Oreochromis niloticus: one gene and its partner. The main gene of each other region encodes a partner of the protein of the gene in region 2 in a complex. Links are inferred from orthologs where the notes say so. Each region holds a gene or a part of one and is shown on either strand. Other genes may lie near its edges.

Region 1 (7,108 bases), on a different chromosome or scaffold from region 2:
CCCTGAATTGGGATAGAGCCCAAATCCGGTCATTGGTACTTCCTGGCTTGTGTAGTTACTAGGTAACGAAAGCTCAACACTGCCCCTAGCGTCCTGGAGCACTTCCGTTGTGTTTTGGAATTTGCAAGTGTTTTGGAGTTTGCATGTGTTTTGGAGTTTGCAAGTGTTTTGAATTTTGCAAGTGTTTTGGATTTTGCAAGTGTTTTGGAGTTTGCATATGTTTTGGAGTTTGCAAGTGTTTTGGATTTTGCAAGTGTTTTGGAGTTTGCAAGTGTTTTGGATTTTGCAAGTGTTTTGGAGTTTGCATGTGTTTTGGAGTTTGCAAGTGTTTTGAAGTTTGCAAGTGTTTTGGATTTTGCAAGTGTTTTGGATTTTGCAAGTGTTTTGGAGTTTGCATGTGTTTTGGAGTTTGCATGTGCTTTGGAGTTTGTACGTGCTTTGTCTCTAGGGGCCACCGTACCATCATGCCACCCGACACTGATCCAAATCTCATTTAAGAACAAGAGTTATGAATTACAAGCAGGCAGCTTTATTAACCTGCTAGCAGTAAGCTTGAGCTGTCTGCACATGCATAATCTGTTGTTCTGGGCCAATGCCATCAGTAGTTCTTATACCCAACAGCTTTCAATAATTAAGCATCTGAAAGTCATCACCAAGCACTCCAAATGACATATGCCTGGCATTTGCCCTTTTTCCTTTCTGCTGTAGACTTTCATTGACTCCCGTGTGAATACAAACACACACGCAGGCAAGTGTTCGTATGTGCCATGTGCCAGCGCTGGTGTTAGTGACAACATGTGCAATAAGTCAAAGAGTTTCTCTGTTCTCCAGGGAGAGCAGGACACTTTCTCACCTGACTATGGACACTGCTGTTATATACAATCTGACTATAGGCTCCCTTGAGAAGCATGACTAACATCTCATAATCAAGTCCACGACACACAGCTAGAGGCAAAACAGAAACAGAGAGCGTAGGAGTGTGCGGGAAACAACGTAAATGGCACGACACTCAAGGTATTTAAGTGCCTCTGGGGAATAGAGGGCTGGAATGTAAAGAAGAGTAGGAGCAGAAAAGAGGAGCGTGCTTGAATGAAGCTCTGTTAGACCACTGTAAGCAGTTATGAATTTAACGGCAAATGGTGACAGAACCTGCACCTGTGTCTGACGACGTTTGTGAGAGGGAGGGATAAAATAAATACCGCACATTTAAGCACATGTGTACACGTTTGTGCTCTCTCACCCCTTGCCCAGCAGTCTGCAGACCACTGTAGCATCTTCCTCTCCCCAGTCGTTGCTACAAATAGACCCCCACGTTCCCCCAAGGTACACTTCGACCCGGCCGTCTAGCTTGGAGCGGCCACCTTGCAGACGGACGGAGCCTGAGATGGAAAGACGGTTGGAGAAAAGTAGATGTAAAACTATATGTGATGTGCAAAAGAAGCTTTTTGGGGAACATTGAACTTAAAGTCTGTGTGTGTGTGTGTGTGTGTGTGTGTGTGTGTGTGTGTGGTGGTGCTGGTGGGGGGGTATCTGATAAATCATCAGATATACTAACAGGTGTTTTTGTGTATTTTACCACATCAGATGCAAAAAATAAGACTAATGTAAAAAAGTGAAATATTACAGAATGCAAAAGATGTGTCTGTGACTGTTTTTAAATGTGACACCTTTTTATATTTTCTACCTGCACAGCCTTTTCCTTCAAAAATGGAGAGACATGTTCCTCCTGTACTGCCCCACAATGCAAATCATGATCTAAATATTTATAACCCATAAGATGAATAAGATTAATATAAAATGAAAAAGCTGCATTTTTCTGATTTATTTGATTTATTATTTGCAGTTATAGTCACTCGGTGTGTGAGCATGCATCAGGGTAACCTGGTTGCTTTACATTGTAAAGTAAGAAGCTTACAGCGAATGCCTCAGTCCAAGTCCATGCTAACACACACATACACACACACACCTGGCGTCCTGTGGCTCTCTTCCTTGTGCAATAGTAAACACACTGAATCTGGAGACCTCACTTACAGCCATGTAATTGTTAAAACGTTCAGTAACAGACACCAAAACTGTGATATAATACAGCTGCATATGGTTAAAAAAAACAGAAGAAGCTGAAAACACAAATGTTTTCACATGAATAATCACATTCACACTCTGGTAAACCAAAGGTATGATCACCTTTAATTATTCCATGGGTGGATGCTCTGTGACTCAGCTGCACAGCACTGTAAAAACACATCTATCTACAGCTGCTCAGCCTATACAAAAATGTACATTCCATTCATATTGGCCTTGCTGTAGCATGTCTTGAATCCTGCTCGTCTGGGGATTTCACCTTCTTCTAGGTTTAATATTTGTAGCCACGTTCAACAATTTCGAGGCTGTTAATTCCTATAAAACACAATAAAGCTGCTGCTCTGTAGGCCTGCGTGTTTACCTTGTTTACAGTCGCAGTACCCCCAGTCTACTCTGCCTCTGTGGTTCCTAAAAAAGCACCAGGGTCGGATTCGGCCGTCCGGGTTGCGACAGTGGTTGTGCTCGCCTATGCCTTTGCCCGGGTAGCGCTCCTCGAAGCCGGCCACTTCGGTCCAGTTCATGCACCGGGTACCGGACTCGGTGACGTCTATCGCTCCCCGGTAGAAGCCGTCTTTTCCACGGCTTCGGGCGCAGTCGGTGAACGGAAGGATGAATGAAGGGACGCTGCTGGCATAAAAGCAGCAGCTGATCGCAGCCAAAAGAACGGCTTTTAAAACAACAAATGGCACACTCATGTTAGGGCTATGACGGATCCTATCATCAGCTGAGGGTTTCCACGCATCCAGTCAGCCTCTCGCCCAGCCGTGGGACGAAAGTGAGAACGACGCGGATCGATGAAACCCCCTTTTCTTTTTTGCATAGGCAAGGCAGTCCTCCAACGAAAATTCAATAACATAGACTACATGATTGCTTCGACCAAACTGCAGTGTACCTATATTTAATAGGAATGGGTTTTTTTTAGATATTTTTTTTTCGCATTGTTTTATATATTTCAGTACCCTTTACTACTCATTAACCACTCGACCAAGTAGTTTAGAAATATTCTATAAAATCAAATCTAAAACCCCTCCTGACGGACAGCATTCAAATCCTCTCAAATATTAGGGCATTTGCTCTAATAACGTAAAACATGAAAATACGTGGTATTTAAATTTTAAAATGCTTCTACTTAAAAAAAATATATATATATATATATATATATATATATATATATATATATATATTTAATATTTATTAGACGGTGGTGTTCCTATTATTGCTCAAATTATACGTATTCAGTCGTTTGGAGCCGATTTGTAGGGAGTTCATTTGAGATGCGTTCTTGCAGGTGAGTTATCTGAAGCACTTGCTTTTATCATTTTGCACAATTTTCTCCTGCGCAATCTTCTCTCAAAAATGCGTACGCTTTTTCATTGCGTGTCTTTCACAACTTGAATCTTTTGTGACGGATCGTGTCTGCAGGAGTTTAACAACGTGATGTGCTTGAAAGATAACAAATGTTAAGAATGACTTCTCAGTGAACCAGTGCGTGAAAACTCAACACCAATAAAGTCAGCGACGAAATCAACGCAGTGAGGTGTGCTGGGATTGATTGTTGACATGCTAGACCGGCCTTCCTGTCAGTGGTGGATACGCCTTGAGGTAACGTGAGCGCTCTCTGCTGTGATTGGTGTTTAAATTATTAGTCGGGAGCCCTCGTGGGATCTGTCCGCTGCTGCTTGAAGAGCGAGGAGAACTAACCGTCTCTGATTGGAAGACGACTTGCGAAACGTCAGAGATACACGCCGAAAATTGTGACATCATCGCACCGCGTCCGTTCAATCACAAAGGGGTTCACTCTTTAATTAATACCGGCGTACACCGCCAATCGCTGAGACAGGCGGTAAATCACTCTTTTCTTAAGACCCAATCATTGTTCATACTATGATGGTTTAACCAATACAGTTAGGCATAACTGTATAGGAGCCAAATACACATGTGCCTTTGACTCTCATTTTGAACAAACTCCACCTGCTGATGGGCAATAAAGTGGCACGCATAGTGCCTGTGCGTACTGGTGTCGAAACCGATTGCACCTATCGACTTTTCCATTTTTTAGCGGTTATCCCCCATTAGCCGGTTGCTAGCTGTTGTTACAGATAGCAATAAGTGTTATATGAACATATTTTATTTACACCAGCCGCCAAGGGGGTTTAATACTGTGTCAGAACCCGGTACATAAGACGCAATGAACAGCCGTCTTCAAGAGATACGCGAGAGACAAAAACTTAGGCGGCAGCTGTTAGCTCAACAGGCAAGTACACAACGAGCCCTCCAGCTGCCTGTCAACTTACCTACATACCTAACGGATTTGTGTTAATAACGTGGAGCTAAGCGTGTTATGTGCAAAATGGATTTTCAGATAGTTTTCCGCCCAATACACCGATGTATGGGTGCCGATAACAAGCCTACCCCTTTAAAACATTCAGAGTGGTCGCCCTTGAGAGGAGCAGACTCGGTGTACGTCTAAATAAAAGATTTGAGCGCATTGAGGAGCCATTACAATTATCCGTAACGCTATGGAGTCACGTACCAGCAGTACAAAATACCAAGGGGTGTTTTATTAAGCACATGTTTCGTCATAGTTGGCACTGTATTGTTAACAGAACACAGGCAGGAGGGACTTTATATTTACTTGCTCTATCGTTACCACAGCTGGGAGCTGAAAGCGCAGACAGCATCGGAGCAGTCCTACACAGTAAAGACGAACTAAAAGAGATCGAGGAGACTAGAGAAACATGCAGGTAAGCTATAGTGTTGGTACTGTTCATGGTGGCTGTGGCTCAGGCGGTAGAGAGGACCATCCACCAATCACAAAGTCTGTGAATCATTCCTCATCGCCACATGTTGAAGCATCATTAAGCAACATACCCCCCAAGTTCCCCTGAACCGTTAAGAGTCCCAGTCCGTTTACTAAACTGCAGAAATCCTCAGAAGCATTTTTCTCTTTGGGTTTACTGCATGCACAGTCTTTTTGTCATCTTATGAGCTCCGTGATGTCATTTTTTTCAGTACCAAATGCTTGCTTTGGGACTAAGGAAATGTTGAAATATAGAGGTGTATTCGTTTTCAGGGCTTCATATGACAGCACAGCCCCATCTTCTAAAAGGAAAGCACAGACAGAAGGAGAGGACACAGAGGAGGATGTGGAAGAGCAAAAGGTGAGTGTAACCACATAAATGTTGAGTTTATGAGATTTGGCACTATATAAATAAAACTGAATTAAAAAGCCTGGATGTGTCAGGAGGAGTTAAGTATTGTGACATTGTGCCATAGACAGCAATAACATATGCTTAAAGTGGTGGAGCTTATGGCAAAGCTATGTTCAAAAGTGTCTTTATCTGACAGTACAGTTAAAATGGTCACTGACATCAGTAGTGACGACATAAAGGCTCTTATTCTACAAGCATCAATACAGGAGTGCCTTGAAATTTGGCGTGACTTGTACACAAAGGCTTGTAAAGGTCTGGATTAGAGGACAAAACTAATCTGCTAATCTCTTGTCTGGTAAATGCTGTCTTTGAGCCAGAGTTTGACTTTGCTCTTTTGCATGACTATAATGACGTAAATACAAATGACTTATGAAAAAGGTGGAAGTATTAGATCATTTTTCCATTTAATACTTTAAAGTATTTTTAACACTACAACCCATTAAAGGTTTTAACAGATTATATCTTAAGGTAATGAATTGTATGGTGAAGTATAGATTTACAATCGTAATTTCAAATAAGTTGGCATGCTGTGTGTGGTAATAAATTGAATGAATAGAACAGAATAAAGTACAGAAAACATGTAAAATATTGAAACATTTTGCTATTTTATTAAAACTAAATGGTTAGCCCAGAGATGGATTGGCAAAATATGATAGCTGGGATAGGCTCCAGCCCCCTGTGACCTGCAACCCTAATAAGGATTATGGAAGGGAATGCATGGATGGATGCATTTAAAAAAAAATGGCCTTATGGAATTTATTGGCAGCAACACATTTCAAATCTCACTGTTGGATGCTGGTGATGTTACATGGTGCTAGACTGCATGGGCTCCAAACACTTCCAGTCTGTGAACAGAGCTTACCTTGGACTGTAGAGCAGTTGAGACGTGTTCTCTGGATTGACAAATCATGTTTTTCCATCCGGCACTCCCCTGGATGGGTCTGAGTTTGGAAGTTATGTAGAGTCCAGGTGCTGAACTGGTCTGCTTGCAGTCCAGACCTTTAACCAATTTAAAATATCTCGAACATCATAAAATGAGACGTGCAACAAGGAAGACCCAGGAGTGCTGAGCTGCTAAAAGGCTATATCAGATAAGCCTAGCAGCTGGTCTCCCAGACATTTACAGACTCTTGTTAAAAGAAGACGGGGTTCTACACAGTCCGTAAACATGGCCCTGTTCCAGCGTTTTGGGGAAGTGTTATTGCCATCAAATTCATGATGACCTATTGTTTTTCTTAAAATGGTACATTGTCTCAGTTTCTGCAGTGAATAAAACATGGGTTATGAGATCCGCAAATCATTGTATTCTGGTTTTATTTACATTTCCCACAATGTCTCAACTTTTTTGGAATTAGTGTTGTATTTTAATATAGTGCAAAATGCATTGATTCAGATGTGTTAGAACAAATGTATGGAAATGTGGACAGATTTAATAGGCTGACAATGTCCCATCTCCCTCTTTGATTTCCATCTAACTGATTTAATGTTTTTTGTACATTTGTGTCTTTGTCTTACTCTCCATATTAAACAGTGGTGGAGTTTATTATAGTTAGCAATTCTCTTGTTTTATTATGCAATTACATTCGGCTGTATTCGTTTGCTAACCACATGTTTGTGTTTTAGGATGAGTTGGAAGTGCAGCAACCAGATGAAACCAACCCATACGAAGAGGTGTACAAGGACTCAAGTACTTTTCTTAAGGTTGGGAAACTCTTTCTTTGCATTCACAGTCTCATTTATGTGGACTTGCATAACCTGTTTCCACACAAAGTATCCAGCAACTTTAAGACAAAAAAATGTTTTTGAATGGACGT
Region 2 (7,337 bases):
ATATCAGCAACATACTTGGCGATGTTGAGACCTCTGAAGAATCGAGCGATATCCTGGTCAGAAGACTGCCACGGCAATCCTCTGGCTCGGATCACCGTGTTGTCGCACACTTTCTCCATTTTGCTGCTGCACACACAGATATTATTACAGGGGATTATCAGGGAATAAAAACAACGTGTATCTTTAATAAATGTTGCTCACCAAGTGCCGCTCTCGAACTTCTCATTAACTCTCTCTGGGTTAGAAAACGTGTGGCCTGCAACAGCAAAGCGACAGAGTCACCATGATAACACACACAGTAATCAAGCTGAGACAGTTTTTAAAAGGCAAAGCAAATGGCTGAAGTCTAAATCAGGTAAGACCTTACATTTCTTTTCATCTTAATTAATGGTTTGTTAAATGGCACGCTCAAAAGTGGCACTCCAAAATCTTGGATCATCAATTTTTTTAATGATTTTTTTTGAAAAATTAACATTTCAGTTATCCTCAAGAGAGGTTCTAATTAAGTTTCTATTTTAGTTCACAGCAGGGTCTTACTTAAAGTAACAGTTTTGGAACTCATCAGTAGTTAAATCGATTTACCTGACGTGTCGTGCTAATGTTACTCGGTAATGTACACGGTACTTACAAAATGGCTCGGATAGCAGTGCCAGGACAACGCTGGACATAAGCTGAAGCTGCTTTGTGGCTACTTCTGCAGGTAAAGGGACCGATGGATCCAGTGTGGCAGAGGGGTCCCACATGGTGGGCACATCAACAGGTATACCAAGAGCTGAGGAGGAGGTGGTTAAGGAGCCCAAGCAAGGGAGCGACAGTGTTATTAATCATGAATACGTCATGGTCCAGCAGGATTGGAGGTTTGTTTTCTTCTTTTTTTCCTCTCTCTCATTTTCTAAGTCCATTTTCAGTTTAGTTGGAGTTGTATGCTTTGAGTGGAGCCCACTCTCTCAGCCTTCTTCTACACCTGCTCTGAATCGCCTCATCAACCTGAAGTATTAAAAGGCAGGATATCCGCAAGATCGCTACACCGATCATGGTCGTAACCAGGCCCTCGGCCCTCTTTGTTGTTAAGTTCTAGTTAACCTCGCTTCTCTATTTGCCCTCTAATCTCTTGCTCCAAATTCTGCTTACGACTTATCCTCATTCCCGAGGAGCTCTGCTCAAACCACCAGGTAAACTCACCTGGCTGCCCATGCTCCACCACCGCCAGCCTTACCTCTCTCTAGATTCCTGCCTGCCTTCCTGTAACCCTCCTCCACGATTCACATCTGCAATCAAGTAAGCTTTTTTACCTGGATCACACAAACCAGGATGTTCATCTGCATTTAGAGAGGCCAGCACTAAATCCCTCTGTCCTCTCCAAAAGAAGATCCGGTTGTGTAGCAGCAGCGTCATTTGCCTGCTCCCAAATAATTTCTGTTGCTGGTTTAATAATTTTTTTAAAACTAAGTCTGATCTGTCTCCAAAAGTCTGATCTGTTTTTTCCCAAATCATGACAGAATAGACAGGTGTGTGAAAAAATGAAAAAAGTGAAAACAGAACAGCAGAAGACAAGGTTAGAGATACACATGTGTTTTTCTTCCTGTACCTGTGTGTGCGTTTGTTTGTGTGTGTGTGTGTGTGTGTGTGTGTGTGTGTGTGTGCGTTTGTGTGTGTGTGTGTGTGTGTGTATGGGGTTGGTCCTGTTGGGTAAACACACACTCTTTCACTAAGGGCTTAGTAAGGTGCTGCCACTCTTTCCTTATTTGCATTTCAAAACCTTTATCCCTACAGCCAACAGCTCAATGCACATGTGTTGTGGATTTTTGAGGGTAATGCAACGCACAGTATGAGAAAGAACCAATCAATCGGATCGAATCAATCAAGCAAAATAACAAGTGTCTCGAAATCCATGACGGCATAAACGGGTAACAGGACATGAAATGTTAATGTAAACAGGTGACGTGTTAAAAGGATACACTCTGCCATGGTGTGGACATTCAGAGCTTTGAGGTCAGGAGCGGGGAAGTGCTTCTTGAACTCCTTCCGAAGGTCAAAGAAAGAGTAGAAAGAGTCTGGGACCAGGATGTTCTAGAGAGGAATAAATTGTGTGAGTGAAAGGCCCATCAGCAGCTGCTCTTTTTATTGCTCTGATACTCATGTTTGCACAGGCCACAAGAGCATGCACTGCCTACTTCTTCTATCATTAACACACAGTTTTAAAACACTTGGGAGAAATTTCATCAGCCTCATTGTGTGCCTGTCTTTTATCTGCATGAGTGTACGGTATGCGCATGGGCGTGTGTCACCATAGTGGCTTCTCCTGTAGATCAACTTTCAGTGTTAACATTAAAGTTCAGCGGGCAGTGCGATGCTGACACAACACATCCCTCTGAGAGCGTCGAAGGCTCCCGCAGCAGCGAGCGAGCGAAACATCCGCCCCGGCTTGCTCACCTTGCTCGCTGCCTCGGGGTGAATCACTTGGCGGATGTGGAGCTGCCCGTCTGTACACAAACACACCGATGTGCCTGCGCCCGCGCTGTTCACCTCATTTGTCAGTTGCAGATGAAACTGTAAAAACATTTAGAGGTATGAACTTTAATACAGCTGCTTTAACCAGCGCTGTAACGGTAATTAGTAATCAATAAATGGCCTATTAATGGATTTCTGGCCACTTTGAAGACATTACCATGTTTAAAGCTTTATCAATGCTCGGTGCTTTGTACACACAGTCTGCTCCAGATCCATTCTCCTGTTCCACGCTCTCCTCCACCACATCCTCCTCCTCTTTTTCTTCTGTCGAGTCTGAGAGGTCAGGCTTTATGAGGAGCTCATTCACCTTGCCCAACTGGTTCAGAGAGGAAAAAAACAAGTCAGCCTTGAAACAGCAAGCCTAGCTAGAAACTCAGAGGCTTTGGAACAATATAATGAAACGAGCATGAAATATATGTGTTTGCTAAATAGATATTATCACAGTGGAATGCAGGAAAGGATCAATTTAAACGTCTTCCATGTAAGGGAGAAGGTTTTTTGTAATTAAAGAGAATAATGATTTCTGAACAGGTGTGTGTAAGCAGGAATCCCACAAAAATCCCCCTGGCACACCTTTCTTGCTGTTAATAGAGGTCTGACATTATGTATTGCAGTCCACCTGTCCACTCCTTTGAACACCACATTTCCTGCTTTGGAGTCTCGATGATTAGCAAAAAAGATCAAGCAGCCTACAAGTGAGTTGTTACCTTTTTGTTCTTTACATCCACGAGCTGCCAAACCAACTGCACGAGCTCCTTCTCGTCAGACCCCAGGAGATCTCCGCTCGCGCCAGATGTGGCGGTGAAAACCACCACCAGGTAGTCTACCTGCGCCGTCATCTGAATCTAAAACAGACCACAGAAAACTAATCTAATACTAAACGAGACTAAAAGGGACTCAAGATCAGCGGGATGTGAAACGCAAGCGGGACGCGGGAGGTAGAAACACCTTTACTCTGACACCTGAGCGCAAAGGTGGGTTCCGTAAATCCAAAGTTTCGTCGCGTGTGAGATTTTATGTGAAGCCTCCCGCAGTCACCATCGCGAAGCAATGGCTGAACGCTCACCGCTTTTGTAGTGAAGCTACCTGTGCGACCACGTGACCCCTTCACCTGGCCCCTCCCTCTTTCAGGTGGTTCAAAGTTTAGTACGTGGCAGCTCACGCAGGACAGAAAAGGTAATAAATAGTTATTAATATATAACAACAACGACAAAAATAAATAATAACATAATATTAATAATAAATGTGTTATATTTTAGTTACTATGCAGTTAATTATTAAAATAATGTAATAAATGTCTCCATAACAATTCAACAAATCGCATTCAAGTCTTAAAAAAAGGAATTGACAAGAAGAAGAAGTAAAAGAAGAAAAAGAAGCAGAAGAAGAAAAAATGCTCGTGAGAACATTTCGCATTTTATGCTGAAATACGGAAAAAAATTCCGTGAAATCCGTGTAAAAATGAAACAGTTAAAAAAAAACTTAAAAATACTAATACAGACCAAGTGAAGCTATCATGTTATTAAATCATAAAGTTATTAAATTATGACTTCGTGATATTTTGCTTCAATGAAAATATAAACTGAGTAATTGATTTAAATTTTTTTAAATAAAAAATAAAATTTCTTACAACAACAAAAGTATTCCAGAAAACGCTTGTCAACTTTTTTTCTCCTAAACAAATATAAATTTTCCAACTATATTTCTCATAACAACAACAACTATTACCACTACTACTACTACTACTATTGTTGTTGTTGTTGCTGTTGTTATTGTTGTTATTTTTAATTTTATTTATTTGCTTCAGGGTTGTTGGGGGTGGGTTGCTTACTCCGGAAGTATTCACTTTAATCCGGAAGTTTACCCCTGGCCCGGCCGATAGCACTGGAGCGATGGCGGGGGACCCTTCAACGGAGCTTCTTTTTCTGGATACGTTTAAGCATCAGAGTGCAGAGGTAGTGTTTTTTAACACTTAAACACACTCTTTTATGTTTACCCCATGACTACCTGCATTAAAAGTTAGTTTTAAGCGCATTCAGGAGTTTTGAGGAAGGATGCTTAACTTCCAGGCTAACGCTGTTAGCTAACATTAGCAGCGGTGTGATGTCATTATCCTGGTTTTAAGCGGCGATTACTGCACAGCTGTCCGATTATACAAAACGTGTGTTTTCGGTGTCAATGCAATCCTCATACATTAGCAGCTAAAAGAGTTGCCGTCTTTTGTGTCCTTGCACAGTTTGATTGATGGTTAGCCAGGTGGCTAATGCTACATCAACATTACAGTATCCCCAATATGTAGAGTGGCTAAGCATGTTTACCACGAAGCGGGAGTAAAAGTGACTTCTGCGGATGCCGGGGGCTATAAATTATGCATTTCACCATTGTTTGTATCAGTAATCATGTCTCCTTTGTTTCAGTTAACCAACATAGACGTGGTGCGCTTTCCCTGCGGGGTGCTGATCACAGAGGTGCGGGTCATTCCTCCAGGGATCAAAGCTCACAGTAACCTTCCTGACAGCAGAGCGTTTGGGTAAGATTCATCATGCCCGCATGAAAACTCATGCACACACTCATGGATCTTATTGCTACACCCAGTTAGGCTGAATGCATTCTAATCTAACAGCGTTGCCAGCATGTATATCGCACAGTTGTCTCAGTACTAATTGAGATACTGTACCTTTAAAAGGCAAACACCATACATGATTTCAGTGTGGCTACCGTCCTCATCAATGCAGTCTCCTAGTAAAGCAAAACACACTCTGAGTTTTATAGGACTCATTGGACCATTTCACCTATTAGTTGTGCAGAGAAACTATTAACTTCTGCATCAAACTGATAAGGTTTCATTTCAGAACAATGATTGCCTCAGATGAATCCATTGGTGTGTGCATGATAGTTAGAAAGTGCTTAAAGCCATAGGCTAAAGCACTTTGAGTCATGGGTTAAGTATGATTCAGACTTCTATGGGGAATCTTTGTAGAGTTTACAACACTCTACATAAATAACTGATGTCAATGCTGACATTGAAGCTTGTGCTGGTGCATTACTTGTTAATTACCTTGTGATGGTGTCCCTGTGTTTTATATGTGTTGCCAGCTGATAGAAATAAATGAAATGATGTGAATTTGTTTGGGTTCTTTTTTAAAGCTTTTTGAGGGGAGGGGGTGCATTTGTCTCTGTAGTTGCTCCACTCCTTTATACCTTCCCTCAAGTCCATTCCGATACTTTTGGTAATCTCCCTCCAGGAATTTGCTGACATTTTTGAGTCTTTATATTTCTGCTATGGTAATTTTTTCTTATACTGAAGTGACGATTGTTATTCTGTCACCGCTAAATTCAAAAACTGTGGTGCAAAAGTAGCCAGAAATTCACAGGAGGGATCAGTGGTACTGAACAGGCCAGTCACAATTGTTGTGGGTTGCGCTGACCAAACATTTAGTTACGTTTCTAGGGAGGTTATTGTCAGGTCACGGCATACGTTTCCCGCTAAAGCACAAATTTCCAGTTAGGGTAGAAAGGTGCCATTTAATTACCAGTCCATTTTCAGTGAAAGAGCTGACATGGTTGATAGCCGTGCTTGACATTTTACACACAGTGTTGTGCATTATGAATTTGGTTTCTGGGATACTGTAATGTTGATGTAAGTGTCTGAGGGAGAACATTCGGAAAGAGTTCATTAAACAGTGCTCCCATTCGGTCTGTAATTCTGATTTTAATTTTGGTATAACAAATACCTCTTTTCCACTAGCACCTGCTTGACTTGACTGGACTCACTCTATTCTGCTCTATTCGGGTTCTATTCTACTTAGTTTTAGTCTTTTGTCATTATAACTGTGTACCACCTCAATGTGGGTGGGCCCGTGATAGAAATGTGGCCCAAAAGTCGATTGATATCATTTGTACGTGCCACAAACACAACAGTGTTCAAGCTCCCTTTAGCACAAAAACATCTGAACCTCGTTGTTGGAGCACGGCGTTGGTTTGTTTGCATTTCCCTCGTTGCTGAGTTTTAAAAATGGCATGTTTGATTCTTGTGAAGGTGTCTCACTCATGACTAATCTGGTGATATCCCTCTCTGGCCAATCAATGACATGGAGTCTGTTAAGGTCAGGTTTTTAGCTGGACTCAAGTCGTTTGGAACCCTGGCCAAGTACTAAAATGTACCTGGTATTACCACTTAATGGAAAACCCTAAAACTGAGTCAAGTCGAGTAGGTGCTAGTGGATAAGAGGAAATACTCAATGGTGTCACCTTTGTCCCAATGCTAGAAATCAGAATTATATAAGAAAAGCAAACGTTGAATTGGTTTTGAGTTGCAAAAAACCTGGGGTCTTATTGCTAATGATATATTGCCTGTGGAGATGTTTTGGGGGTTGCTTTTTTTTTTTCTTTTTTTTTTTTCTCTTTTTGCTATGGATACCTGAGATAAATGTGTGTGTCTGGGGGAAATTGAGAAGCTTGTGTGAATAAAGAAGTGTGTGCATTTGATACCTGAGCTCCATTGTTGAACAGGTCCCAATTCCCCCCGAACCTGCTGAGTGATGTAATTTAGCTGAATGAACAGACTCAAGAATGCACAGTCCTCTAGCATTGGTATGCATTGTGGTAGTATTGATATTATGTTAAAGTGCATTTATTTTCTGGAAATCCATGATGTATAAGTAACGTCTGGTCCAAAGTTCTGCCATAAAAGCTACTTTTATCATAGCTACTGTGATCCATTTTTTGTTGATAGTCATAAAAGTTGAAATCAGTTTCATTTTTATACTGGGATCATTGCTGACGGTGGTGGTGGTGGCTTTTCTAATATTCTAACCCCCCCTATA

Evidence for each region. Proteins that work in one complex are often made in the same cells at the same time.
Region 1: virma (region 2) and mettl14 share a complex: the UniProt entries of both Homo sapiens proteins name them as parts of the WMM complex. The link is inferred for Oreochromis niloticus from reciprocal best matches to the Homo sapiens genes VIRMA and METTL14.

The regions. Positions count from the first base shown.
Region 1 is NC_031971.2:20,855,406-20,862,513, reverse strand, and holds the start of mettl14 (N(6)-adenosine-methyltransferase non-catalytic subunit METTL14), read left to right. Parts: upstream 1-4,088; 5' UTR 4,089-4,270; coding exon 4,271-4,336; intron 4,337-4,737; coding exon 4,738-4,826; intron 4,827-5,155; coding exon 5,156-5,243; intron 5,244-6,917; coding exon 6,918-6,995; intron 6,996-7,108. Other genes in the region: prss12 (neurotrypsin), read right to left, coding at 1,241-1,379, 2,444-2,777. UniProt on the Homo sapiens protein: The METTL3-METTL14 heterodimer forms a N6-methyltransferase complex that methylates adenosine residues at the N(6) position of some mRNAs and regulates the circadian clock, differentiation of embryonic stem cells and cortical neurogenesis.
Region 2 is NC_031976.2:20,073,952-20,081,288, reverse strand, and holds the start of virma (protein virilizer homolog), read left to right. Parts: upstream 1-4,328; 5' UTR 4,329-4,403; coding exon 4,404-4,466; intron 4,467-4,928; coding exon 4,929-5,041; intron 5,042-7,337. Other genes in the region: esrp1 (epithelial splicing regulatory protein 1), read right to left, coding at 16-126, 202-256, 629-772, 1,959-2,070, 2,434-2,550, 2,669-2,827, 3,219-3,350. UniProt on the Homo sapiens protein: Associated component of the WMM complex, a complex that mediates N6-methyladenosine (m6A) methylation of RNAs, a modification that plays a role in the efficiency of mRNA splicing and RNA processing.